Linked DNA regions of Oryza sativa Japonica Group. The main gene of each other region encodes a partner of the protein of the gene in region 5 in a complex. Links are inferred from orthologs where the notes say so. Each region holds a gene or a part of one and is shown on either strand. Other genes may lie near its edges. The genes, in order: transcription initiation factor TFIID subunit 8, transcription initiation factor TFIID subunit 15b, transcription initiation factor TFIID subunit 10, transcription initiation factor TFIID subunit 11, transcription initiation factor TFIID subunit 6 and transcription initiation factor TFIID subunit 13.

Evidence for each region.
Region 1: transcription initiation factor TFIID subunit 6 (region 5) and transcription initiation factor TFIID subunit 8 share a complex: the UniProt entries of both Arabidopsis thaliana proteins name them as parts of the TFIID complex. The link is inferred for Oryza sativa Japonica Group from reciprocal best matches to the Arabidopsis thaliana genes TAFII59 and TAF8.
Region 2: transcription initiation factor TFIID subunit 6 (region 5) and transcription initiation factor TFIID subunit 15b share a complex: the UniProt entries of both Arabidopsis thaliana proteins name them as parts of the TFIID complex. The link is inferred for Oryza sativa Japonica Group from reciprocal best matches to the Arabidopsis thaliana genes TAFII59 and TAF15b.
Region 3: transcription initiation factor TFIID subunit 6 (region 5) and transcription initiation factor TFIID subunit 10 share a complex: the UniProt entries of both Arabidopsis thaliana proteins name them as parts of the TFIID complex. The link is inferred for Oryza sativa Japonica Group from reciprocal best matches to the Arabidopsis thaliana genes TAFII59 and TAFII15.
Region 4: transcription initiation factor TFIID subunit 6 (region 5) and transcription initiation factor TFIID subunit 11 share a complex: the UniProt entries of both Arabidopsis thaliana proteins name them as parts of the TFIID complex. The link is inferred for Oryza sativa Japonica Group from reciprocal best matches to the Arabidopsis thaliana genes TAFII59 and TAF11.
Region 6: transcription initiation factor TFIID subunit 6 (region 5) and transcription initiation factor TFIID subunit 13 share a complex: the UniProt entries of both Arabidopsis thaliana proteins name them as parts of the TFIID complex. The link is inferred for Oryza sativa Japonica Group from reciprocal best matches to the Arabidopsis thaliana genes TAFII59 and TAF13.

Annotation. Positions count from the first base shown.
Region 1 is NC_089037.1:23,460,258-23,464,942, reverse strand, and holds the start of transcription initiation factor TFIID subunit 8, read left to right. Parts: upstream 1-1,621; 5' UTR 1,622-1,920; coding exon 1,921-3,126; 3' UTR 3,127-3,234; intron 3,235-4,685. UniProt on the Arabidopsis thaliana protein: TAFs are components of the transcription factor IID (TFIID) complex that is essential for mediating regulation of RNA polymerase transcription.
Region 2 is NC_089035.1:3,329,682-3,334,337, forward strand, and holds the start of transcription initiation factor TFIID subunit 15b, read left to right. Parts: upstream 1-1,757; 5' UTR 1,758-1,815; coding exon 1,816-1,867; intron 1,868-1,945; coding exon 1,946-2,216; intron 2,217-2,864; coding exon 2,865-3,732; intron 3,733-4,487; coding exon 4,488-4,638; intron 4,639-4,656. Other genes in the region: non-classical arabinogalactan protein 31, read right to left, coding at 1-19. UniProt on the Arabidopsis thaliana protein: TAFs are components of the transcription factor IID (TFIID) complex that is essential for mediating regulation of RNA polymerase transcription.
Region 3 is NC_089043.1:20,160,736-20,165,570, forward strand, and holds the start of transcription initiation factor TFIID subunit 10, read right to left. Parts: upstream 2,866-4,835; 5' UTR 2,715-2,865; coding exon 2,535-2,714; intron 2,439-2,534; coding exon 2,374-2,438; intron 2,033-2,373; coding exon 1,970-2,032; intron 1,387-1,969; coding exon 1,329-1,386; intron 1,242-1,328; coding exon 1,191-1,241; intron 1-1,190. UniProt on the Arabidopsis thaliana protein: TAFs are components of the transcription factor IID (TFIID) complex that is essential for mediating regulation of RNA polymerase transcription.
Region 4 is NC_089035.1:28,595,424-28,600,093, forward strand, and holds transcription initiation factor TFIID subunit 11, read left to right. Parts: upstream 1-1,663; 5' UTR 1,664-1,704; coding exon 1,705-2,024; intron 2,025-2,652; coding exon 2,653-2,740; intron 2,741-3,685; coding exon 3,686-3,785; intron 3,786-4,026; coding exon 4,027-4,154; 3' UTR 4,155-4,492; downstream 4,493-4,670. UniProt on the Arabidopsis thaliana protein: TAFs are components of the transcription factor IID (TFIID) complex that is essential for mediating regulation of RNA polymerase transcription.
Region 5 is NC_089035.1:18,531,839-18,536,366, forward strand, and holds the start of transcription initiation factor TFIID subunit 6, read right to left. Parts: upstream 2,919-4,528; 5' UTR 2,616-2,918; coding exon 2,490-2,615; intron 1,340-2,489; coding exon 1,253-1,339; intron 1-1,252. UniProt on the Arabidopsis thaliana protein: TAFs are components of the transcription factor IID (TFIID) complex that is essential for mediating regulation of RNA polymerase transcription. Required for proper pollen function. May stabilize the interaction of TFIID with selected promoters.
Region 6 is NC_089035.1:13,333,157-13,337,835, forward strand, and holds the start of transcription initiation factor TFIID subunit 13, read left to right. Parts: upstream 1-1,798; 5' UTR 1,799-1,841; intron 1,842-1,928; 5' UTR 1,929-2,102; coding exon 2,103-2,307; intron 2,308-2,392; coding exon 2,393-2,430; intron 2,431-2,682; coding exon 2,683-2,742; intron 2,743-4,637; coding exon 4,638-4,679. UniProt on the Arabidopsis thaliana protein: TAFs are components of the transcription factor IID (TFIID) complex that is essential for mediating regulation of RNA polymerase transcription. May be involved in polycomb repressive complex 2 (PRC2) mediated repression.

The DNA.
Region 1 (4,685 bases), on a different chromosome or scaffold from region 5:
AATACATATCCAAATCCTAGAACTTGTCATAGTGTGTCATCTAGGTCCCAAATCGCCACAACCCCTACAGGATCTTACGTAGCGCTGATGTGGCATGCCACACGGACATGACGTGACATTATTTTGACTGACAAATAGGACCCATTTAATTTTTTTCCTTTTTTCCTTTTTTCTTCTCCTTTTTCCCATTTCTTCTCCTTTCTCTGAAGAAAGGAAAAAAAAGAAGAATGAGAAGAAAACGGAAAAGAAAAGGAAAAAAAGAAAAAAAAGAAAAGGACACGTCACGTCCATGTGGCATTGCCACATCAGCGCCACGTAGGATCCTAGAGGGGATGTATCAATTTGGGGCCAAGATGATACACTTTGACAAGTTCTGAGACCTGGATATCCATTTTGAGAGTTTAGAGACATATACGACACAACCCTACAAGTTTAAGGACCGCCAACACACTTTACTCTTCTCTAAATAAAACCAATTTAACCTTTGAGTGTCCGCCTACCCTATTAGGGCAGTCCCAACCCATAGTGTCCATAAGCAGTGTCTATGATATCATGTCAATAAGACATCACAATAGAAACTACACTCTACAACCCATGGTTTCTTAAACTAGGCCACTAATAAATACATCATCTCTCTTCTCTACCAATCATATTTATTCTTCATCTATTATGAAGATACTATTCTCTCCCAATACAAAATTTGATAGTGTCTAGTGCATAGGTTCTCGTGTTGAGGCTGTGTCTTGCATGAGACCCAGTTTCTTCCTCTCTTCACTTACTCTCTGAATTAATATAGTGCCATATAAGCTAAAAGTCCTACATGGCAATGTAGTTAATGCTATAGACACCATCCTAGATGGAGGGTTGGGGCTGCCCTTAGGGCACCCACAATGGTTATCTATAGGCTCTCTACAAGAGATCTATGTCAGCATATTTTCCTACTTGGAAGGTATTAAATGAAGAGAGAGAGCAAAGCTATCTACTAACTTATAGATAGTCTATAGAGAAAAACGAGGCAATGCATGAGAGAGCTATAGATACCAATGTAGACATACTATTGAGGTGGTTTACTATTAATCGAGTCTATTGCTGAGATGTACATGTTTTATAGAGAGCACCTTAGAGCACCCGAACCATCCGCAATGGTTCAGGTGCTCTAAGGTGCTCTCTATAAAACATGTACATCTCAGCAATAGACGAATGGTTCGGGTGCTCTAAGGTGCTCTCTATAAAACATGTACATCTCAGCAATAGACTCGATTAATAGTAAACCACTTCAATAGTATGTCTACATTGGTATCTATAGCTCTCTCATGCATTGCCTCGTTTTTCTCTATAGACTATCTATAAGTTAGTAGATAGCTTTGCTCTCTCTCTTCATTTAATACCTTCCAAGTAGAAAAATATGCTGACATGGATCTCTTGTAGAGAGCCTATAAATAACCATTGTGGATGCCTTCCATGTTGACTTTGTTTTGTATAGACCATAGAAGCACCCGATAATCCACCCATCGAGTGACAAAGCTCCTGAATCGAGAATGGAAAATCCTGGCCGTTCATTCCCCGCCGTCGGAAGATGGCCGAAATCTTCCTGTGTTGAGGCATTCCGCATTCAGCCGACACGCCTCTCTCTCTCTCTCCGCTGCTGCTTGTGTCCTCCTCGCTCTCTCGCTAGTGTAGTCAACTCAAGTCGTCTCCCTCTCCCCATTTCGCCAGCTTGGGGTTTGGATTTCTCTCCGAATTCCGAGCTCCGCCGCCTCCGCGTGCCCGATTCCCCAACGGTCAACCCCTAAACCCTAGATTTCCATCCCGATTTCGACCACCGGTGCTCGAATTCCCCCGCAATTTTGGCGCTGCCACTCCCCCCCTCGATGGCGGCGCGGCCTGGGTTCGCGGCGGTGGGATAGAGGTGCCGCCGGTATGATTGGGGCGCGGCCGAGCGCGAAGGCGAGCATGAGCAGCAGAGGCGGCGGGGGTGGTGGCCGGGCCGGCAGGGTAGGCGGCGGTGGTGGCGGAGGAGCAGGAGGAGGAGGAGGAGGAGGAGGGGGAGGAGCAGCGGCGGCAGCAGCGGGTGGAGGAGGGGACTTCGGGAGGGCGGTGGCGAGGGCGGCGGTGGCGCGGATGCTGGAGGCGGCTGGCTTCGTCTGCGCGCACCGCTCGGCGGTGGACGCGCTCGTCGACGTCCTCCTGCGGTACATCTGCCAGCTCGGCCGTGCCGCCACGTTCCACGCCAACCTCGCCGGCCGCGCCGCCGCAAACGAGTGCGACGTCATACAGTTCCTCGAGGAGTGCGGCGCGGCCTACTATGGCTTCGCGGGGGCCGCCTCGGTTTCTGCCCGTTGCCTCGCCAACTCCGCCGTCGTCAAGGATATGGCCGTGTTTGTTGGCGCGTCCAAGGAATCCCCGTTCGCGGGCCGGCCATTGCCGAGGTTTCCGGTACAGCGTGTGCCGCTGCACTCGACGACGAGCTTTGCGGTCTTGGGTAGGGAGAGCGGGATGAGCCATGTCCCGGAATGGCTCCCGGCCTTTCCGGAACCTCACACGTATGTGAGGAGCGAGTTGTGGAGTGAGGAGGTGGCTAAGGCTGGGGCGGATGAGGTGGAGCGGGCGCGGCAGCGGAGGAAAGCTGAGAAGTCGCTGCTCAGCCTGCAACGGCGTCTTGCTCTTGCAGGTGCCGACGGGTTCCGACCAGGAATGCTGGTCGATGATGCAGTCAAAGCGAACGGACTAGATGTGGTTGAGAGCAAGGCGAATCCGTTTCATGAGCGAGCTTTGCCTTATGGGGAGAAGGCGGTGTCCGAGGTTACCATGCCTGGTGTGGGGAAGACATTCTCTGTTGTTGAGGCCTTCGCACCCGCATTTGAAGAATCAAAAGGTGGAGAATTTGATGAGGGTATGGATCAGGGCCAAAATGATAGTCAGACTCAGAAGAGGGTTGTTCCAAAAGAGAGGCCACCGGTGTATTTTAGAATTGGGATTGATAAGAAGTCAATGGTGATGGCACTGAATTCGAGAGCTCTGGTTGAACTGAAGGATCCCTGGTTCTTCAAGGAGGATAAGGAGCAGAGGGCAGAGTTGATACTAAGGGAAGCAATGGATAATCCACATGAACTTACTCAGCTTTAACGTTCCTGTATGTTTGCAGTACCCACAGAGCTGCATGGTGAATTTTGGACTGGCTAAACTAGGGACTTTTCAAATTCATGTTGGAGCAGCATTTGCCAAGATCTTGAGGTTTGTTTGTTTTTTCACTTAACTGTTCCTGGCAGATTTACTTCATAGCCATTACGTGCATCTCTATTAATTTGAGTGTATAACTGAAAACCACATAACTACACAAGAATATCCTTTTTTTTGTAATATGCACATTTTGTATTTAAAAGTACAAAGTTATCACATCACGAGATAACAGAGAATGCTACATGGATGGTTTATGTGTTGAATATATGTGGTAGTCACATTCTGTTATGCTTTTCCTTAAAGCTTTGGTTAGAAAAATAGCATCCACTGTATACAGTTCAAAAATTGCGAATCTACCTTCCACTGCTAGTTCTGATTAACTGGATTCCTTGTAGGCTACCACCACCGCACTAATATCCTAAATTAGAAGGATTGCTGATACGCACATGCAATCTATCTATCTATTATATACTAAAAGGTCATTAAACTTCCTCAAAACGCTCTCAAGCCGCCATATGGTGCTCTAATAAACTACTTCCTCCGTTTCACAATGTAAGACTTTCTAGCATTACTCATATTCATATAGATGTTAATGAATCTAGCCACATATGTGTATAGATTTATTAACATCTATATGAATGTGGGCAATGCTAGAAAGTCTTACATTGTGAAACGGAGGAAGTAAAGAAAATCGTAGAAAATCTGAGAAAAAAAAAGCAAAACATCTATCCCTTGATTTTCACTTAAATCAGTGGATCTTTAAATAAATCCAAACACGAAAAGTGACTATACTGTTCCACCTCTCCTTCCATGGTATATATATGTACGTACGTTAGTACGTAACTTTTTTTCTTTTCAATGTATATAGTTGAGACAATTATTATTACTATTATTAGTGATAATAAATTTTAAATAAAAGTTACTTTACAAACATAGAATAATATATCAGCATATAACTCTTTTACAAGTATACATAAATGAATTAGCTCTACAATACTTGAAAATAAAGTTTACACCATTATATTATATTATGTACCCATTATTTTAGATTATTTTATTAATGAAAATATTTGTCCATTTCTTTTGTTAAGTAGTCATGGTTGGTTTTACAAAGTTTCATTAATTTTTGTGATATAAATTATAGCGAACTTATTGATTATAATTTACATGACAAAACTATATTGTTAACCGTATTATATAATAGAAATAAACTTTACTTAAAAAACTTCAAAATTTATAAGTAAACTATACATACTACTTAAATCTATATAATTATGGTCTTATTTCAAACAAATATTGTTTCAAAGAAAACAATCGAACATGCAAAAGAAGAAAGAAATTAGCTTCAAACAATGTTACATTTTGCACTACCAAGCCAAGCAATTATGTAGGTGTTTGTGTGCACCAAAACCCTTCAATGTTCTTTAAAACTATAGAGAAAATATTGTTGAACTTATATAGAGAAAAAAAAAATCTAACTTTTAATCTACCCTTGATTTGTTTGT
Region 2 (4,656 bases), about 15 Mb from region 5:
GGTGGAGGAAGGCAGCCATTGATGCGGAGCTTGGTGTAAGCTCGACTGAGATGGTTTGTGTGAAGCTTTTTTTTGGCTGTGTCGAGATGGAGAGAGGCTTGGGGTTTTATATACTGCCATGGATCAAACGTGCGGACATGTAGATGGCCGAAGCCCGAAGTGGTGGCCATGTTTGTCCTGGAAAATGTCTTGGTTTTGATTAAGATTACGTTTTATTATACATTATTGTAAAATTGTGACAATATTATACGTACAATGATTGACCTGTCGAAATGAAAAGAAAGACAATATGTAATGATTGGTCACCATGGGCATTTTTAAGAGAAGAAATCGCATGCTTGTAATCTGTTTGGCGATTGGTCAGTCTGACATAGATAACGAATGTTCAGAAGGATGATATGCAGATTTGTCAGAGAACGTGCTGCCCGCGTGTGTCCTCAAGACTTCAACTGCAATATCTGGTTCTCCGTGTAGGCAGAGAGATGTTCCCCAACGCAATGCCGCGCAAAATAATCAATTTTGCCGGCAGAGCGACAACTTGTTTTATAATCTGAAAACGAACTGACATCTTATTTTATCTGTAAAATGTGCAGTTCATGTAGGAGCATGATGTGCGTCCATGTTTTGTCTGAAACCGACTGAAAGATAAACAGAGAGCACTGGAGTAAGAGAATTTTCTGATTGTTTCTACATAGGAGTAGGAGAGTTTAAGGCGAAAGTTACTGGATGGAAAGGAAGTCTGACTAATCGAGCTTACCCAAAAATTCACAAAACGTAGCATCTCCATCCCATCAAGAGCAATATGTGCTCTAGTTCTTGTTTTTCATCTTGAGGGAGAAATTATCCGATTAAGTTTACATGTCTGAAGAGCCTAATCATTTTTGTATATCACTTATATGTGCTGTCCTAAAGATTTGATTTATGGAAGAGTAGAAGACAATTCTCACTTCACATTCCAAACAGGTCATAAATCGACAATATCGCTTGTTATTGTGCGGTTTCCGCGGTAACCGGACTTACCTTTGGATACACTAATAGTAACTTATCCCGTCAAATTCAAATAAATTTACATAATAATATGAACTTCTAATAGCATCGTCTAGTTTTTCATGGTTTACCGTGTGATTACCGTGCTTACGATTGGGTGCGGTAACTCAACCCCTGATGGTAAGGTTAGCCCTGCTCTAACTAGGAAAAAACAATAACAAACAGATATATAAGACACAGGTTTAACATCAGTACTCTTAACTATTCCCTCCGCTCAAAAATATACTACCTCCATTCTAGAATATTCGTCGTTTTGAGTTTTTTATTTGTAATGTTTGACCATTCGTCTTATTTAAAAGATTATGTTATTATTATTTATTTTGTTTGTGACTTGTTTTATTATCAAAATACCTTAAGTATGACTTATCCTTTTTAGGTTTGCATTATTTTTTAAATAAGACGAATGGTCGAATATTGCAAGCAAAAAGTCAAAACGATATCTAATTTGGGATGGAGGTAGTAATAAATTTTGACACTTTCATTTGTCCACAAAAGGCTAGTGAATATTATTAATGGGCTGGGCCAAACACCCACCAAAGAAAATTCCCAATGGGCCTTGAGTGATCCCCAATATACAGCCCATTACATGTACACCCCAGCAATCCAGGCCCACACGCAGCGAGAGAATTCGACTCCCGTTTAATTCCGGCCCAAATCCATCTCTTTCGACTGCTTACTTCTGCCCTAATCCACACACGTATCAGAAATTCGGAATACTCTGTTCGCACTTGCCCTTCCGGAACGCTCCCAAACCCTAGGCGCGTGACCATGTCGGGGTCGTACGGATCCGACGACTACCGCGGCGGCTACGGCGGCCGAGGTCGCGTCGGGATCCTGCGGGTTGTGTGCGTGCTTGCTTCTGGATCTGCTCCTGACTGGCTTGTGGTTTTTTTTGTAGGTGGCGGCGGAGGCGGCCGTGGGAGGGGAGGTGGCGGAGGAGGAGGGGGAGGATATGGTGGTGGTGGTGTGGGAGGTGGATATGGTGGTGGTGGCGGAGGATATGGCGGCGGTGGCGGAGGGTACGGCGGCGGTGGTAGAGGTGGCGGTGGAGGAGGAGGCTACGGCGGCGGTGGCGGCGGCGGGAGAGGTGGGGGTGGGGGTGGCGGTGGCCGAGGTGGCGGCGGGAGGGGTGGAGGACGTGACGGTGACTGGGTTTGCCCAGACCCGAGGTTTGTTTCGTTTACTCATTTGACGTTGTCTCGTTTGATTCGACTGTGACTGATGAAATCGTGGTTGTCCCGATTGTCTTGTAAATTATGCTACTTGGCCATGAAATCTAGGGTTTTTAGGTTGTTAAATTATAAATTATTGGGTTATTTGATAATTTGGTTTAGGATTTTGCATGGGGCATGTGTGAAGTGTCCTACTAAATTTTTGTTTCATCGTAGTATTGTGAGCATCAGAACTGCCAACAAATAGTTAACTGCATAATTCATTCTCTATGAGAGCTCCCTATAATCTTAGGTCACAAGTGCTAAATTTATGTTGAACCTCTAGATACATAAATATTATGTTATACTTGTCTCCCATGATTTCTTCCCCTCCCCTATGTTCTATTTTCCTTGGTATAGCAGAGTGGCAGAGAAGAAATTTCATATATGTTTTTGAAATGAGTTCATGGTGTTATTGGAAGCATTACAAAATACAGTAAATAAGCACTACAAAATACAGTAAATACTTTCTTTTATGAATATGTTTCTTTCAATATGGCATTAGTTGTCTTGCTGAGTTGGTTATATTTTGCAGAATATTCGGTTGCAATTTCATTGGTTCTCTTCCAATATTCCTAATATATTTGTTTATCATTCTTGTTCCAGTTGTGGCAATGTGAACTTTGCAAGGAGGACTGAATGCAACAAGTGTGGAGCACCTTCTCCTGCTGGAGGTGGAGGTGGAGGTGGAGGTGGAGGGTATAATAAATCTGGTGGAGGGGGTGGAGGCTACAATCGTGGTGGTGGCGATTTTAGTTCTGGAGGTGGCGGTGGCTACAACAGAGGTGGAGGAGATTACAACTCTGGTGGCCGTGGTGGTGGCACTGGAGGGGGAGGAAGAGGAGGAGGTTACAATAGAGGTGGTGGCGATGATCGTGGATTTGATGACCACCGTGGTGGCAGGGGTGGTTATGGGGGAAGAGACCAAGGGAACAACCAAAGGGGAGACGAAAGTGGTTATGACGCTGGTAGCTATGGACAAGTTCCTCCTCAAGGTCCTCCTTCCTATGGTGGGCCTGGTGGTGACTATGCAGCACCTCCAAGCTCCTATGGAGGCAATAATGCATACAATTCAGATTCTGCAGTGCCACCTCCTAGTAGCTATGGTGGTGGTCCAGGTTCATATCCACCAAGTTATGGTGCACCACCTCCGAACCCGCCATATAGCGGTGGTGCTCCAGGTGGCCAAGGTAGCCTACCTCCTTCATATGATGGTGGGTATGGTGGTCGGCCTATGCCTGGGGGTGGAGGCCCTGGTGCACCTCCACCCTATCATGGTGGTGGTGGTGGTGGTGGTGGCGGCGGCGGTGGCGGCGGATACACTGGCAGTGCTGCTCCAGAGCCAGCTGCAAAGGTTAAGCAGTGTGATGCAAACTGTGATGAGACTTGTGATAATGCAAGAATTTACATCTCCAACTTACCTCCTGATGTGACTGTTGAGGAACTGCAAGAACTATTTGGAGGAATCGGCCAGGTATACTTTGACCTCCTCTTGAGCTCCCACATATTTAGTGTTTATGAACTGTGCATTTCACGATTCGCTCACTGAAATATTTTGTGCATTTTATGTCTTTTTTCTAACCTCATGTTTTTCATTTTATGTGTTTCGCCATAATATCTTTTTCCAGTGTTACTGATATTACTTGTTGGAATTTAAGTAAATTTACAAATCAGTATTCAGATGATGTTTATAATCTGTAGTTGGGCTTGTTAACATTTTTTTCCCCTTTTGCTTTCACTACTGCTAGCACATTGCAAGTCATAGTTTTGCACAAAATCTGCTCCATCTGTTGTATACAGCGCAGTTAGAGCGAGCTTATTACATATTGTTTTTTTCCTTGCTAGTGGAGAAGTACACCCTTGTGTTTCAATGTGCATAATTAAATTTGGATATTTGTTTTGATGTAACATAATCATCTTGCAGTAATGATGCTCTTTTTTTTTGTAGAAGTAGTAGTACTGTAATTTTAGTTATAACCAAGCCATTCAATGATTTTGTAGTAATTTTGCTTTACTCCCATATTGGTATTTTATGCCAAATAATTCGTGGCATATCACCCCATGATGTTAATGTAAAATCTTTGATAATAAAGTAAAGTTGGTTTTACAGATTACTTAGTGTTCCTAGCTAAATTTATTGCAAGAAATTAATTTCTTTAGTTTTGGGGGTGGTAACTGCTTGTGTTTCATGGCTGTGTTTTGAGTTTTTGCAACTGCTTTTTTCTTAAGGTTGGAAGGATCAAGCAGAAACGTGGCTACAAAGACCAGTGGCCCTGGAACATAAAGATCTATACTGATGACTCTGGAAAGAATAAAGGAGATGCCTGCCTTGCCTATGAAGATCCTTCTGCTGCTCATTCAGCTGGTGGATTCTATAACAGTAAGTTCAGCATCGAGA
Region 3 (4,835 bases), on a different chromosome or scaffold from region 5:
GACAATGGTAATCTAATTCTATCAAATGACGTGATGATCTACTGATAGCTGCCAGCATGTTAGAAAACAAAAATAAATCTCAAATTGGTAGTATGTGGAACAAACATATTTCATGAAAGCACAAAGCTTCTATAATGATAGCTCATCTGTAGAGCATTACAGTCCAGAGTTATGTGATATTGTGACATGTCAAGGATGCCCTTTTGTGTGAGGTTTCGTGTGTAGAAGGTAGATTGATTCTGAACCATGGAATTGTAAACATAAGTGTACTGACCATGATGTGATTATAGCTGAATCAGTCATTTGCCAAGAATATTGCTGGGAAGGGAAAGCATAGAAGATCATTTGTCAAATAGACCTGTATATGAGCAGCTCATCCCTGTATATGAGCAGCTCATCCCAGGTCTGCTTAAATGCTTATTTCATGTACTATAATGTATGTGTTCTGGGGAGTGGATTCTAATCCCTCGAGGGGATGTCCCCTCGTATATATTTTTCTTTCAAAATCAATGCAAATATAGTTGTTAAAAATTCTGAAAAATATTGACAATGTAGAGTACAATTATATCTAATAGTCCACCAAAAATAAAGTTCAAATTCGACCTACACATCGAGAACCCAAAAAGACAAATTCAGATATTAACAGTGCGGTACTATTTATACGCTGAATTTGTCTTTTTTTATATCTCGATGTGTGAGTTGAATTTGGACTTAAGATTTTGTGAAGTTGTATAGATATGTTGTATAAGTGTTGTCAAATTTTTCTAGAATTTTTCATAACCGTTTAGATGATTTTTAAGCGGCACATCCCCTCAAGGGATCAAAATAGTTTCCCATTTGTTCTTCTGGTAAAATATTCCAATACAAGTAGGCTGTGACTGATTGTTGAGTTGATTAGTCTATCTGAATTGTGATTAATCGTGAGCATCGTGAAGCATATACAACTGATCAATTTGGCTACTTGTTTCATTAAAAAAAACATTAACAAGTAATCCCATTGGTCTAAAAAAGGTTAACTAAATCCATTCTACAGTAGATTTATTAATGCAGAGATTCAAGTCCTAATAAAACTAATAATTGCAATTATACGTCAAACTGAATAAACTGTGACTTCAATCACGTAAAGTACAGTGGTAACTGGTGAGCTGCAGTAAAAGGGAAAGCTTAAATTCAACAGGAAAATGGTTTACCTCTTGCAAGGCCTTGGAAAGATCATCCATTGTTAACACAAGACGCCTATCCTGAAGAACAGAATGACTGAACCAGTAAATAAAAGTACTGATTTCATGCTAGTAGTACCATGGTACACCAACTGCAATTAAACCCACCTTAGGTTGCTTGCTCTTGTTATCTTTGATAGGTGCTGCTACCCTGGCTTTGCAGTGCCTAGTTCAGGACAATAATCATGTGATGAACAAATTAGTGTGCATGATACCTTTTAACTGTCACAAGTTATGATACAAGCAACACCATAAGAAGCTTGACTTTACACATAAAGTTTCAGTCAGTACTGAAATTAGATTCCCTACCACATCAATGTTATGCATATTTCGCAATCTATTGTCTTAACAATATAGACATAAGATACCATGTTTGATGTTTCATTCCATGGTCATAATGTGAGAAGGATGATAGAAACAAAAAAAAGGAAGCACAAAGAAGATGCAAGTTGACAGTATGAAGAAAACAAGCCTAAAATCAACATGGTTATCTCAAAAAGCTGCCAGCATAGGAGAAATGAGGCTACTCAACATCTCAAGAATGAAGCATATTGCATACACCTCCATTTATGAATGATGCAAGAAACCTCATGGTTCATGACCATCATCAGAAATCATATTTCTCATTCACTATCTGAAGGTAACGAAAATTCGACTCCAAGAATCGATAACCACTAAAAAGGAACAAAATAATCGCACATACGTTTAAGTTGGAAAACAAAACGAATGAGGCAGTAAAAGTTACATACTGAAGAGAGTCGCTTGCAATGTCCGAAATGAACTTTTGGGTGGCTACAGCAACCAGCCTCGTTCTGCAGAGAACACAAAAATTATGGTTCATAAGGCCATGCTGTCACACATGACGACCAACAATCACCAAGCTGAAAGGGATACAGCGATTTTCTCCCTCGACTAGAATGGCAACACGCTGCATTACAATGCAATCCTAACAGCCTCAATCAGATCTAACTGTCACCATGTTGTACGTACTAAGAATCAGGCAAAATTCAGTCCAAATCTCTTCAGTGATTTCCGGGCACTGGACGAATTTCAGTTTAATAACTACCAATTGGCCCATCCTGGAAGGCACGGTGCAGTCTTCCTGAAAGAGAGAAGAGATTGAACTATTGGAGAGATAGATGGGGGTGCTTACAGGCGGAGGTCGGGGCAGTAGAAGCCGCTGCGGCCAAGGTAGTGCTCCACCAGCTCGTCGGGAATCTGCCGCACCACCACCACCACCACCACCACCACCGCATCAGACACGAAACCCAAGAGAGGGGGAAGCTAGGGCAAGATGGGCGGCAGGCGCCGTACCGTAGGGGTGTAGTCCATGAGGGAGGAGAGGAACTCGGTGAGGACCGCCTCGTCGTCGTGCCGCCCGTCTCCGCCGCCGCCGCCGCCGGCGGCGGCTGCCCCCATGGGCCCTCCTCCCCCCATGCCCCCCGGAACCATGGCGCCACCGCCGCCTCCGCCTGCGCTGTTGCTCCCCATCATCCTCTGGTCCCCCGCCTTCGCCGGAGGAGCTAGTGGGGTTTGAGATCTGGCACGTCGGCGGGGAAGTTCGCCGCCGATGGACCAGGAAGAGCGGCGGGAGTCGTCGTCGTCGCCGGAGGCTCGAGAAGGAGGGGGGAAGAGGGAGGGGAGTGGTGGGCTGTACTCCGGCCCTTTTGGTAATAAGCGTAGGATGGGCGGAGTTCAGGCCCGTTTGGAAAAAAAAGGGATAAGTCTATTTTACACCTATGAAGTCTTCGTTTTTGTCTAAAACTAGAAAAAAAAAGTCTATGCATTGGAACGGGTAAATGCTATTTTAATTTTATTGTTGTTATACGGTTTAGCTACGGTAAAATTCACTGTGAAAATTTGATTGGATATTTTTTCAGAAAATCATGAGCTGCAATTAGGAGACCGTATTTAATTTGAAGTTAGCATGTGAGTTTTTTTAAAAGATTTCTTATACGACTTACTTCCAATAGGAAATAAGCTTAAAATCTAACTCAAACACGGTTCTGTATTTTCAAAAGTGAACGAACTTAAAAACCGACTCAAATATGGATGACAAACCAAAATTCTAGCAAAAACATCTTCAGTTTTTATAATAGTAGAGATACACCCAATACTCTAAAGCCGGATATTTCACACCCTCTAACTTTTAATACCATTCACTTTATACCCCCTGAGCGGTTTACACCACGTCAGCAGGTCCTACAGTCTTCTTTCACCTTCCCCTCTCTTTCGACTCCCTCCCTCTATGAGCTTGAGGCAGCCATGACGAGATGGACGGAGCTGCGAGCTAGATGCGAGCATAGAGAAGAAAGGGGTCGGCGGAGAGCTTCGTGCCGAGCCCACCCCCTTGGTCGTGCTCGGAAGAAAAGGAAGGTTGGCAGCAAGCTCGATGTGGAGCTTGCCCCTTGGCTGAGGTCAGAGAAGAGGGGGGTTGGCGGCGAGCTTGGAGAAGAGGAACTGCTGAGCACGGAGAAGACGGGATCACCAGCAAGTTCCAAGGAGGGTTGATGGGCAGTAATCGGCCCCTCCTACCCAAGCTTCGATGTCATCATAAGCTCTGAGATCCGCTGCCACTCGTCCTATCCAAGTGTTGCTGTCATCGTAGACCCAGAGCTCTCCCCCCCCCAACACCCACTTGCCGAGGTCAGAGAAGACAAGTGCCAGCAGCACAACCTCGATCCCACGATAAGCTCAATGAAGGAGCCGATGCCGCTGGGCCTGCTACACAAGCTCAGGGAAGTCGTCGGCACTCGCCTCATTGAGCTCAGGGAGGTTGCCTCGCTACTCTACTTGTTAAGCTCGGGAACTCATCAACGGCCTTCTACCCTCGTCATTCATCTCGAAGAGGAGAAGGAGAGGAAAGAGGAAGAAGAAGAGTAAGAGGAAAGAGGGGAGGTGGCCTACGGGTCCCACCTTTTTATGTTCTTTTATAGCTAAGTTTCCATGTAGGCACCACATAAGAAAATTTGCGTTGGTTTCCACTAAGGGGCTAAAATTAGACGGTTTGAAAAGTTAGAGGGTGTCAAATACTCAGTTTTAGAGTTTGGGGGTTTATTTTAGACAAAGCGAAGAGTTCGGAGTTGTCAAATGGACTTATCCCATTTGAAAATCATCCAAATAATATAATACAAAGAGAAGTTGCAACAAGGAAACATAACCGTTATATGCTATCAAGAAAAGGTCAATTATATGATTTATTGTCAAGTAGCAAGATTTTCTTTACAATTTCACTTAAGTCAAAGAAACACCACTATTTATGTTTGCCATCAGCTACTAAGTTACATTCACTGATGTCTAGTAGAAAGCGTCATTTTACTCATGCAATGTAGCATACCATCACTGAACTAAGATTCACGGGATAATGCATATTGCATACCAACTCTTACTCCTCAATGGTGACTAGGGCGGATGATCTAGCACGGTCAGGGAATACGTTAAGACGATATGATCTCACCTCTAATGTTTGTCCTTGTGATGGATACCTTAAGCACCTTGTTTGCCAAGGCAAAAGAGGAGGGCTTACTGCAGCCGATCCCAATCCCGCACCGCATATCCCTTTCGGAAAACAATGTGGTGCTCTTTCTCCGCGACCAACCAAGACTTCCAAGTGGC
Region 4 (4,670 bases), about 10 Mb from region 5:
AACTGAATTTGAACTTGTTTTTGTTATATTTTGATTCTAGGTATATAGCATCCATACATATAATTAGTTAGGTATGTAATCATGGATTATGAAATAAAGTTAAATTTGAGTTGTTTTGTTGATAAGTATAGGTATGAATCAAATTATTATAACTAGGTATATACTCACAATTTAAAAATTTTGAAAATTTTGAGTGATTTTGTGCATTAGATACCATGGTGCCCGGGCACCATGGTGCCCCATATATATATATATATATATATATATATATATATATATATATATATATACACACACACAGCTTTGGGAGTCTTCGAGAGATATACACGAGCTGGGCATCTCTTTTTGTTTGTCGCACCCCCCCCCCCTCCCCCCCTGTTGCTGAAAGCGATCAGCGCAACCGAAGCGAGGAATAATAATCGGCAATGATAGCGGGAGTTTGGTCAGACGAGCCTCAGACGAACAGCCGGTCGAATATTCACTCTCATCACCAGCAAAGCGGAAAAAAAAACACGACGATATATGTGGCTCTCGTCGTTTTATATTCACATGTATGATGTATCATACGGAGTATGATAGTATATATGTGTGTGCATATAGTATGTTGTTTTTTATATTCGTGGAGCAAAGTGATCGGCGCCAGAAAGCACCTTTGTGCCGTCAATTTTATTCAGGGGAGAGAGAGCTGCAAGAACTAGCGAAGAATATTGTTGTGTGATCTGGGTAAGTAATCTAATGGCGAGGCTTTGCTTGGGCAAAGAGGAGGTCAATGGTGAGCGAGCGAGAATCCTATGCGTTAGGATTAGCGGCAATAAACAAAACGGCCTCCACTAAACAAGGCGCGATACGGAGGTAATGCAAAAGCTGTGAGAGGGGGGCAAAGCAAATCCTATCCTCCTCCTGAATGCCCAAATCCCAGCGTGATCGATCGGGGTTGTTGTTTTTGTAGCTGCTTAAGCTTTTTATTGCACACGTTTGATGCATCGTTCTCAGGATGGGTCTCTCGGTGGGTCAGTGCCCACGGCTTGGGAGTTTTCTGGTCCCGAAAACCTGTTGCACGATGTGATACGTCTCGAACGAAAAGATGAAACTTTTTTGTTGCTGTTCTGATGATGGTAGTAGTAGTAATCCTGTTTTTTTTTGTTCCTTTTTTCTTTACTTTGCGCCCGGCCATTGTAAGGTCCGCATCGGAGGTAGGCCACATCACGGTTTCAACTGTGTATAAGCGTGTAACATCTGCCGTTGCTGAAAGAATGCTCCTCTGATGTTGTTCTCTGACGTAAAAAAGGAATCTAGGATTATATGTGATATATTCTAGTATAGTGTGTTCAAATTTATGGTATTAGGATGTGTTATATCTAGTACTAAGTTGGTCTTTTATAAGACGGAGGGAGTACGTCGTTAATATGTAGGTTCACGAACTGCAAAATTCATATGTCAGTTAGAGAATTTGTTTCCGCCGCTGCTGCACGCGCCGTGAGGCGTGAGCTGCTCAGCGGTGGCGCGTTCGGCACGAGCGATTTGATTCACCGGTGAAAATTCTCGCGGCCGCCACGGAGAAATCGGCCCAGAAATCCGGCCCGAGAAAAAGGCCCACGCGCGAAGCAGCCCACCAAGCCCGGCGGCGGCGAGCAGGTAGGTCAACCCCGGCCCAAAAATTTTCAGAAGACTCTGGACTCTTGCGATTCGTCTCCAGCCGCGGCCATGAAGGACCCGTTCGAGGCGGCGGTGGAGGAGCAGGAGTCGCCGCCGGAGTCGCCGGCGGCGAACGAGGAGGACGCGGCCGGGGCGCCCGAGGGATACGACGGCGCCAGCGGGTCGCGCGGGCCTCCGCTGCGGCTGCCTCCTTCGAGGGCCGCGCCATCGGGCTCCGGTGGTGCCGCCGCGGCCGCGGCGAGGGGTAAGGTGGTGCGGGTCCAGAAGGAGCAGCAGGAGGAGGAGGATGACGAGGAGGACCACATGGAGGTCGACCTCGACAAGCTGCCCTCCGGCACCAGCGACCCCGACAAGCTCGCCAAGATGAAGTAGGTGCTTGGCTGCGCTCATCCTAAACCTAGTTTTGCCTTCTTCTGGTGCGTGCTATATATGAAGGGTTAACTGCATAAGGATCAACTAAATTCAGGAACCATATGACCGTCTGTTGAGTATATACGTTCTTTGATCGAGTTCAGTGTTTTAGCGTCCTTCACCCTTTTAACTTTGGTTAATTTGTGACAGTAAGATTTGTACTAGTGGAAATTTCTGAATTGGAGTAAGGATTGTTCGTGATTGTAGTTACAGAACAACCTGACATTATTCACTTCATAAAGACTGTAGTCCCAGTTTCCAGCTATATGTGAAGCGTTTACTGGCATAAAGATCAGTTAAAGTTAGGAACCATATGACTGTCTATTGAGAATATGTTCTTGATCAAGTTCAGTGTATTTTGGTGTCCTTCACCGTTCAACTTTGGTTAATTTGTGACAGTAAGATTTGTACTAGTGGAGATTTCTGAATTGGAAAAGGGGATTGTTCTCAATTGTTTGTGATTTTATTTACAGAACATCCTGACATTATGCACTTCTCAGATTTATGTTCCAATATATATAGTGAAATATTAAACCCATCTAAATAAGAATTCTATGTTTGAAAAACTATGTACTCCTTTTCCAGTGCCATACTGTCTCAATTTACAGAAGACCAGATGAACCGGTATGAGTCATTCCGCAGATCTGGATTCCAGAAATCTAACATGAAAAAGGTATGATCTCATTCCCAACATCCATTGATTTAATATCGTACAAGTATAAACTGCAATATCATGTGCGTGTGATGCGTGTGGCGCCTCCATCTGAATTGGCTTCAGTGTTCCCCTTTGCAATAAAAGCTTTCCACAAAATGTGGATCACATTAACATTTTCTGCTTTCTTAAGTCTTACAGTTACCTTATTTTCTGTTGAATAACACCTGTTCTATTTTGGTTCATGTTTCTTTTGTGGATGCATACCATGAGTTGTACAATGTACCATGCATGTCTTGTCCAAATTGTTGATAGAGCTTCATGTACAGGACAGTTGATTTCGCTCCAAGTTGTAGATAAATACATTTTTGCCTATGTCATCGTTTCTACTGATTGTAAGTGATGTACACTCTCTAAATAAAAAACCAAACTTGGTCAATATTCTTTTCTTCAATTTATAGGCAGGCTAAGAAAGCCTTTTTGTAGTGTCAATCCAAAGTTTGACCTTTTTCTCGGTAAAAATGTTACTTTTGGCTGTTGAATGCCTGAAGTTAACAATGCTTTGAAATTACGTTCTAGTCAGAGGGACAAGTGCTTTAATGTATTTCCTCATCAGTGGTTGAAATATGAGATCACTGCGTTATTGGAATGTTTTTCGGAGTTGCTAGAAATATGGCGCCATATGCTACAGTCGATTTTTTTTAACCACTTACACAGTAGTTACACCTCATTTACACCCCATTTACATATGTAATTAGTATGTAATTTCGAATTTACATATGTAATTTTATTACTTACATATGTAATTTTGAGACTTACATTGTAAATACACTAAAATTACATATGTAATTTAGGGACTTACAATGTAAATACATGCCGACTATTTTTTGATGAAAAATATGACGCCATAAATATAGCTACACCCATGTTTTTTTAAAGTTGATTTGATATTCTGTTTCCATGCAGCTATTGGCGAGCATTACTGGCAGTCAAAAGATTTCTCTACCAACAACAATTGTAGTATCAGGAATTGCAAAGATGTTTGTTGGTGAGCTTGTTGAAACAGGCAAGTCTAGAGTAATTATCTTATTTACTTTGTTGCTCATAGAACACTACCACCAAAGCACCTATGATTTTGATGTATGCTCATCTCTTAAAGCAAATCACTCTTATGACTGATCTTTTGTAATCGTCCGTGTTCAAATGTCCTTTTCTGCTTTCCATAAACTTGTTCTCTGACATCAGAAGAAAAAGGAGGGATGGCTTTATTCACTTTATTTTTGACAATTCGATTGTGTCTGTTGCAGCTAGAATAGTTATGACTGAGAGGAAAGATTCTGGACCAGTAAGGCCTTGCCACATCAGAGAAGCCTACAGAAGATTGAAACTTGAAGGGAAGATCCCACGGCGGACTGTTCCCAGGCTCTTCCGTTAGAATTGAAGCATCTCTGTTGATCCCAGTCGACACTGAGATGGTCCTTTCTGCGGTCAGATGCGCGGAAAGAGAGAATGACATGAGATGTATTTCTTCAGCTTTGTGAAATTGTTACTGTGATTTCTGTCGCAGCAAGGGAACCAGAGCAAACAGTACGTACAAGCTGAAGTACTACGGTACTACTAGCCGTGGAAAATTCTATGTATAAAGTATTGGCCGTAGGCTGTGAATTTTCAGGCTTATGAATAGTTGAACTGTGTACTATGCTGTTTGGAGTATGCGCTGAATCTGATTATATGCTTGTCTGCAATTAAATGCGACCCTCGTTTTAACCCAAACGATGTGTCTTTCTGCTATTTTTATACGTAGAACTCTTGCCGTTGTAACTAATCGATTTTTTAAACGAAGTGTCTTTCTGCTATTTCAAGATCGGATGCTATGCAGGATCTTATGTCCTGCAGGCTGCAGCTTCGGCGGGAGCATTTACGCCGGCATTGTGTTCCTTGAGCATTGTGT
Region 5 (4,528 bases):
TGGTAATAGATTATGATCCAATACAATGCTATTATTTTTAGCTTGTGTCTTAGACACTGAAGGCAATCATGTCCCACCTAAACTCCACTACAGTAACATTTTAACCAAAATAACGAAAATATGTAGCAAAAGTAACATCAAAGAAACCAACCTAGCACGCTAAACCAACCCAGTGATAATATTGAGAGTGCCAAAAAGGACATTATGTTACTCAAAAAAGGAGGAAACGCCTATATATGGAGTCATACAAAACATATAAACACATTGGCAATGTTTAATATATACTTCTCAGTTCTTAATCTGAAATTAAAAGAAAAACAGTTTCACATTTTCCCAGTTCTAACATTGAGCGTGGCAAAGGGGCATTATGTTACTTGTAAGCAAAGTAGGAAACTTTTACATACGAAGTCATATACAACAGCATATAAACACATTGGCAATGTTTAATACATAGTTCTCAGTCCTTGATTTGAAACAAAAAACATAATCATCAAATTCTAACATAAAGTGCATTTAGCTTAGCACACCCCATTTGACATGAATACATATCTCATATTTTATTTTGTATTTTCACATGGATTATTTCCCCCATCTTACCCAGCGTACACTATTGGGCTTCATCCTACTTATTCAGCTTTCTCTCATTCAGTTCCACGCAAAGTAAAATCAGCATCCTACTGGACTGCAGTAACCTCACAACTAGTGGGTGTCAGAGAAATAGGGGGCTGAATGGAAGGATATGGTTTCTCCCCTATGCTCAGTTCAGCTGTTCCCTTGAGGAATTACATGTCAAGCTTTAAAGACATTATTTGTTTTCTCGAACACACAGGAGAGCTGTGTTCTCAAATGGAACAGAAGGATTGTATATTTGTATTAAAGAAGAAGAGAGGGGAAGAAACCACCGAATACACCCAGACACCAAAAGCCTCTACCAATTGCAGTATCAGTTTTCAAACAAGAGATGATTGCAATGGCATTTATATGTCAGGGAACAGACATACCAAAAACAGATACAGGCATAGAGTTTGCCTTATTTATGGCTAACATGTCTCCATGAAAAGATCGTCAACTCTAAGTTTCTTAAACATTTATACTTTTAGCTTAATAATGAGCTGATTCCGAGAAATACTGAGCTCGACTATTTAGCTATCCAACTCAGAAGTTTGATGCATTCAAGCATACAACAGTTACTAGATCTACAAAACCTTTATTTAGTAGTCCTAAAAAATATTGTCAACGAAATAGAAACTACCTCAACATTCCTGAGGCTGAGAGCACTATCAACATCATCGGCAGTCAGGACTGTCCTCTTTGCATGCCGCATACACTTGATGGCCTCCTGTCACAATCCACAGCATAATAAAATACATATAGTGCCTAGGAGAAAATGGAATGGCATTTCTGTGACTGAATATTTATATGCTTACATACAAATTTTGCAGATCAACATATACTTCCAGAAAATTATCGCAAAACAACAGATGTAACACCAAATTTATAACTTAAGCAACGAGATTATAGATCTACAGATAAAGCACGGACTTTATGAGAAAACTACAATTTATGAAAAGTTCATCACGATAGATGAAACCTGTAAAATTTGTAGTTTCATGATAAAATCGGTGCTAAATCGATAATTGTGTGATATGGCTCAAATATGTATTTTTCTGGTAATGCAGTGTTAAATTTGTATTTTTTGTGACAACTCTGTAGTTTGTCAATGATAGTTTTCCAAAATTTATGAGTAAAGATCAGATAGGAATAACATATTTCCAAGATTCAGTAAAGAAAACCTCAAATGATGAATTTATCGTGTAAATAGTGGATAGAACGCAAATTCTTAGACTCACTACCTCACTAAATATATACAAATTAAAAAAAATGGTGATAAAACAGGAACAAAACCCCAACATATGTTACCAGTAAGCTATAGCATGCAATCGAATGAGAGAAGATTGAACAGTCCAGAAACTCTGTAATGGTGTGCTTCAATGCTTTTGAAGAGACAATAGTGAACAAAAAAAACAACCATCTTCCGTCCAATATATTGCATTGCTATGAAGACCGTCCAATATATTGCATTGCTATGAAGACCGTCCAATATATTGCATTGCTACAAAAACCCAGTGAACATATATTGAGCAGGACACAGTTAAGCAGTCAGTGTGAACCAGCATGTTCAAACAACAAGATGGAAACGCATCTCGTCCAGCAAACTCAAAACCCATTGGAATAGGTCTATCGCAAATATTCCACCACACAACTTAGCACAATGGTTGAGCATAGCAATCAATTGAGAGAACGAAGAACAAAGAGCAAGCAATTGCTCCCTGCGGTCCCAAATCACCCAGAAACTACAAATCCACGCCTCGGGGGGGCAGGCAATTTTCCTACGAAGGGAATGGTGGAAGTTGCCTCCTAGTCCCCCAAAGTGCACGAAACTAAAACCGAAGGGAAGCGAGAGATTCGGGAGCGCGGGGGGGACGGACCTGCATGATCTCGCGGAGGCGGTACTCCACGTCGGGGGCGAGCGCGGCGGAGACATCGGCGGGGAGGTTGGCGATGCCGACGCTCTGCCCGATCACCTCAATCGTCTCTTTGGGCACTATGCTCATCCCTCCCCCGCTCTTTCTCCCCCCCCCCCCCCCCCCCCTCTTCTCCCTTCGCCTCCCCTCGCTCCTCGCTCGCCAAATTACCCAAACCCTAGCTCTCTGGCCGTACTGCTCCCTTCTAGCCTCCGCCTATCCGCCACTGCTGCAGTGCCCTCTTCGCTGGTTCGCTAGCATCTAAGCGCTCGCCGCTGCCTCCTCGCCAGCGTTTCTCGCCGCCGCCGCCGCCGCTGGCATGCACGCCGGAGCCGACGAGAAGAGGATTTGACCGAGTGTGGCTGGGAAACGTTTGTGAATCAAGAATTTCTCGTAAAATAGAAAACTACTTCGTAGGATATATTCCTAGCTTAGGGAGCAATTGGTTATATACTTCTCTCTAGGGTGTTTACTTGCGAAATTCTTATCTGCCGCACACGCGTCAGTATGGTCGCGCATCAGCCCACCAGCCCACGTGCTGTTTTCACATTTTCCCGTGATTTTCGGCCCACCAGCCTACTTGTTGTTTCCTTTTTTCGCCATGATTTTCGGCCCACAAATCCACGTGCTATGTTTCCTTATTTTCGACTCCACTCGTTTCCTTATCGTTTTTTTATTTTTCGAAACATTCAACTTAAATTTTGAAACGTTCAACTCAAAATTGATTCAAATTTGAAAACTTTCGAATCAAGTTTCGAAAATTTTTAACTCCAATTTCAAAACTTTTAACTCAAAAATCAAAACTTTGACTCAAATTTTGAAAACTTTCAATTCAAATTTCAAAAACTTTCAACTCACAATTAAAAATTTTCATCGCAAAAATGTAAAACTTTTAACTCAAAATTCTAAATTTTCATTTCTAACTGAAAACTTAATGAAAACTTCCATATCAAAATTTAAAAAAAATTAACTCAAATTTAAAATTATTTATGTATTTTGAAAAATGCTAATTATGATAATTAACAGTAATTACTGTAATTATCACTAATGACTATAATTAGCGGCGGGCGTCTTGCACTAATCGCGCGCAGGGTGTGGGAGAGGGGGGCGTTGCCCGAGTTAAGCAGTCGGCGTGTGCGCGGCCATTAGAGCAAGGTCAATAGTGCAGCTAGTAGTAGGCTCTAAAATTTTATCATGTCTCAAGTAGAGCTAACTTAAAAAGCATCTCATACAACAAGCTAACTACAAGTTAGCTATAAACTACCTTGGTTCAAACGAATTAACAAGCAGTAGAACCCACAAACAAATTTTTTTATTGTATCTCCTGGCCGATACAGCGTGGAGCGCTGTACAAGCGCCGGCGCCAGAACAAGCGACGGCTTCTTTCTCAATCACTGATTTTCTTTCCTTAATCTCGTTTTAGACTGATTAACAAGTTTTGGAGCGTTCCTAATAGCACTATTGTACCCGCTCTTAGAAACCAAGTTTTCTTGCTAAAACGAAAAAGGTTACTATATTTGATCACTTAGAGCACCCGCAATGTTAATGTAAAGTGCTATCTATAAAACATGTACATCTCAGCAATAGACTAAATTAATAGTAAATCACTTCAATGGTATGTCTACATGGATATCTATAGCTCTCTAATCTATTGTCTCGTTTTTCTCTATAGACTATCTCCAGATTAGTAGATAGCTATACTCTCTCTCTCTTCATTTAATCTCTTCCAAGTAGGAAAATATGCTGACATGGATCTCTTGTAGAGAGCCTATAGATAACCATTGCGGGTGCCCTTATTACAATGTGTCGGGGCTAGAGAGAGAAACTAGAGAGAGAGGAGCAGAGCAGAGGCTACTACTACCTTCTTCCAGCGAGGCGAGGAGGAGACCTGTGTCGGATCGGATGGTATAACGGTATGGAGGAGGCGCCGGGGACGTGTATAACTCAAAGGTAGCATGAGTCTTACATGCTTGCAGACATAGAGCCATGGGTTCCAAAAGATG
Region 6 (4,679 bases), about 5.2 Mb from region 5:
GTTTTCCCAACGCTAAATAAATTCGACCATGAAGAGTACTTAAATATACTGCTTGGTGCTAAAGCTGTCCACAATAGCATAATATCAGTTCCCTGTAAAATTAGTGGTATATTGTCACCGTGAATATACTCAATAATAATTAAACAAAAGCTACTAAAATTTCTTTTTGGAGGGAACAAAAGCTACTACCTCCCTCCCAAAATACAGAGAGTTTTAGGTTTGGACACAGATATTAAGAAGGTATGTAGAATTAAACGAAAGAAAGTTGTGATTGGTTGACAAGAGAAAGTTGGTGGAGAATTTGAATGGTGGAAGATTGTGATTGGTTGAGAAGAGATTGTAGGTGAAGAAGTTGTTATATTCTGGGATAAATTTTGAATGTTAGAAGTTGTTATATTTTGAGACGGATGGAGTACTAAACTCGGTGGCATAAAGTCAATTCCTTAGTACCAAAGATAACAAAAAAAAAAACAAAGTGGGAGGTAGGCAACAAGTTTTAGGAATTAAAAAAAAAGGGCATTGAGGAACATTCTAAAAATGAAGTTGCCATTGAAAAAAGATGAATTCATATCTCCACCCGTTTCTCATTAGGTCCATATCTTCCAAGAATATTACTTTGGAGTATTGAAAGAGTTAAGATATCAAGTTGCAAGTTGTCATGTCATTTAAGACCAGAGGTTTGCCACTCTTTCTCCTTGTGCACATTACCACCACAACCACTAATCTAGTTGTAGGTCCCATTGCAAATCCTTGTTCATTCATCGTCATCGGTCCTTAAGCACATCGCCATGATCTAATTTTAATGGCACTTAGATTTAGCCATCTCTTTAGCGGCGGTGGCAAGTGCTCCAACATTGACTTCTAACTTTCTATTGGAAACGTTTAGCTATTTGGTTATCATTATTGTCGAGTTGTTGACGCTCTACTCTCTATTATCAGATCTAGCCATAGGTACAATAATTTGCCTGTTCCTCGTCCTTTCCCTATATGAACCATTTTCTTCACATTTCTAAGTACTAACTCATTATCCTTTTTTAAGTGCTCTAATATTTTTGAAAGTGTTATTTCTCCTTTATCTTTAAGTGGCTCATGTCTTCTTTATCTATGCTCTCCTGTATCTCAAGTCTAATGTTGCAATCACTGACTGAAAATCACCCAGTTCTCGTAAAAATGCCGTGGGGACTGGTTTACGAAAACTAAGTGGTTTTACTCCCTCAAATATAGCAACCTTGTACCTCTGTCCAGATTCATTGTACTAAGATATGTCTCATCTAGTACAGGTTGTTATATTTTGGAACGGAGTGAGTAGCAATTTTCGTATGAAATTGATTAAAAATTGCTATTCTTATTGTTTTTTTTACCAAACCGATACAAACCGGTCTTCACTCGAAAACGGTAATGCAAAACTGGACAATATGGTGTGTTGCAAAATTTCTCAAATGGCCCGTTTGGTTGGAGAGAGTTTTCAGGAGGGATTGGGAGTTTAGAGGGATGAGGCTATTAAGTGTTTTGTTTGGTTGGGAGACATAAGAATTTTGGTGGGATGTAGATCCCTCCTTTTCAATACGGCAGGTAATTGGGAGGGAATTCCTCCTTTACTTTGTCTAAGCAAATCTCAGCCATCCATTTTTATTAATGACCTAATCTCTAACTAAACTCCTTATCAATTTTTATCATCTCTACCAAACAAGATATTAGGATTAAAAATTAAATTCTCATCTTAATCTCATCCGCAATTCCCTCGTGTAAACTCCAAATCATACCATACAAGCCGCAAGGACCGGAAAATTCTCGAATCGCCGCCGGTACGCTCACCAGCTGCTTCCTTCCCTTCGCCGCCGGTACGCTTCCGCCGCGATTGCCTCTCCCCCTTCCCGGCCTTACGCTCCGCCGCTAGTGTGAGGCTGACTCCACTCGTTTCCTTCCAGTTCGCCCCTCAGAAATCCATCACGGCTGTGCATAGTGCACGCGAAAGCCCTAAATCCAAGCGGCGGCGAGGAGCGAAGGGAAGGGGAGGGGAGCGCCGCCGGCCGTCGGGAAGAGGGGGCGGGCGGCGTCCGTCTCCCTCCCTCACCCCTCGCGTCCTTCGCTCTTCCGCCGGGATGCAGAACCCTGGCGGCCACCACGCTAGCCCGGCCTCGGCGGCCAAGTCCAAGTCCTCGACCGCTGCCGCCGCGTCGGCGTCGGGCCAGGGGAGCTCCCACCACCACCACCACCACCACTCCGGCGGCGGCGGCGGCGGCGGCGGCGGCGCCGACGCGTCCGCCACCACCCTCAAGCGCAAGCGCGGCGTCTTCCAGAAAGACCGTACGGCACTGTTTTTTCTAAACTTTAGTACTGCTGCTGTTCTTCGAATTCGTTGTTTATGCTGCATTTTTCCCCGTTCTTGCAGTGCAGCACATGATGTACGGATTTGGGGATGATCCAAATGTAAGCCCGACCTCGATCTATGCCTTTCATCTCTTAATTTTCAGGCTAGGAATTGTTTGGGGATAGGATGCAATTTGTGTACTTTGTGTTGTGGAACATTGGAGGTAATTAACACCGACAACGACAATAATTGCAAGTAGGCCATGGATTTACAACACAACTACATGATTGCCTAAGAAAGAATGGACATGCTGTTCTACCTTTTAAGTTAAAATCTTGTATGTAAATGACATCTTTCTGTTGGTTTTGCAGCCGCTTCCAGAAACTGTTGCACTTGTGGAGGACATTGTTGTAGAATATGTCACTGACCTGGTAAGCTTTCATTGTATTTGTCTTTCTTGTTTTCTACTGAAATTACATTTATGAAGGTTGTATGGATGAAAGGAGTTTATTTGGATTTCGACATCCTTATTTGTTGCCTTATTTAATTCAATTCTAGTGTTCTGGAAAGAGTGATTAGGTAGTTTTCTGGAAAGAGTGATTAGGTTCAGTGCTTCTGTTTGTCGGGAAACATGAAGCCTTTTATGTTTTGAGAATTAATAGGGGCTTCACTTTAACCTATAGTTCATATTTGTGTAGAGCCCAAGGGCTTGAAGTTTGAACACTGGTTTCGGGAAAAAAGAACTACTCCCTCTGGAAAATAAGTTGCCAGGTCTCTACTGGACAAAAGTTCGATTCCAAAATTTTGAATCAAAAAACCAGTTACCAGCTAGTTACCGGCAGTAAACCAGTTTTGTGATAAAAATATTGGATTCGAACTTTTTGCATGCTAATATGTAATAATTCAGATCCGGCATATGAAAGTAAACTAGTGTACCTGTACATGAAATTTCAAGAAAATATAAAGTTATACTTTATTCTTATGGTCTCAAATCTGAACTTTAATTTAAGTGTGAACTGTACTTTGGACTAGATTTTATTTCCTAAGTTGCACATTGGATTAGGTATTATCAAAGGTTTTCACTTTGAACCAGCTTATGGTATCAAATTTTGCACTTTGGACCATTAGTCCCACACGTCAGCCTCCATATAGTCATCTTCCTCGTCAGTCCTCTCGTCTCCTCTCCTTGTGCGCCATCATGTGCTCTCGTTGCGGCAGCTCATTTGTGCAGGCCGCTATGGTGGAGCATCTTGCCAAGCCTTTCTCAGCTAGTCCACCACAAATAAAAGCCTTAATTAACTTTTTCCATCCTCAGTTCCCTTCTCAATCATAAACCACCAGATAAGTTGAAGAGCTTCATACAGTGACAAACCTTCCAGACCTCTCCATGCTAATCACCTGACCATCCCCTGCTCTTGCACCCACTGGCCGGAACACCGTCTCAGCGCTATGGTGGAGCATCTTGAGCTCAAATCAGGGGCTAACACTAGTGGAGCTCGAGGCTGAGCAAAAGCTGGAGCTGGTGGATTACTGTGCATAGGCAGAGTGTAGCGATTGTGATGGCATTGGTAGAACTGCGGGTGGAGAAAGAGTTCTACAGACAGTTATATAAGCCCAAATTGCAACATAGAGGCAAACATACATAATCCAAAGTAAAAACATTGGCTAGAGCATATGGTTCAAATAGAAAGTTGGGTAAATATTCCTAGCCCAAGGTGCAATTCACTCCAATTTAAATTGTTCTGGCTGGTACACTCCATACCTGTTCAGCAACGGTTATAGTTATCACCAGGATTTGCATCTCTTGTGGAGCCCTTTTTGTTAATGATTCATAGAGCTTTGCCATCTTTTGGCAGTTCTTCCCTGCTTAAATTATCTGTAAACTATATTAAGAAAGGCATTTTCTTTAAAGTCTCTATATAGTCTACTTTCCTGCATGATATGGAACCTTGAGTTTGTAATCGTGCATAGTGTAAATGAAATGTACCTGTGACATGGGGTGAAGATATCTAAACATGCCCCACTTGTCTGAATATATTTTTGTAGATAATTTGTCCATGCGTGATCTGAATACGCGACGATATGAATTTATTAGGTCTGTTTACCCTGCAGACTTACTTTGCCCCAGGTTGTTGGACAAAATTTTTACATGACTACAATCTAGTATGCACTCTGTAACAGCAGAAATACACACCAAACACAAGAATTTAGTTAACTGTAATTTTTTATTTGATTTTAAATACCTGCATGTGGATAAAACCATATGTGTATGTAATGTTTATTTATGATTCCGTAACTGTTGACTGTATAATGTGCACTTTCTTAGGTCCACAAGGCCCAGAACGTTGCATCAAAGAGGGGCAAGCTC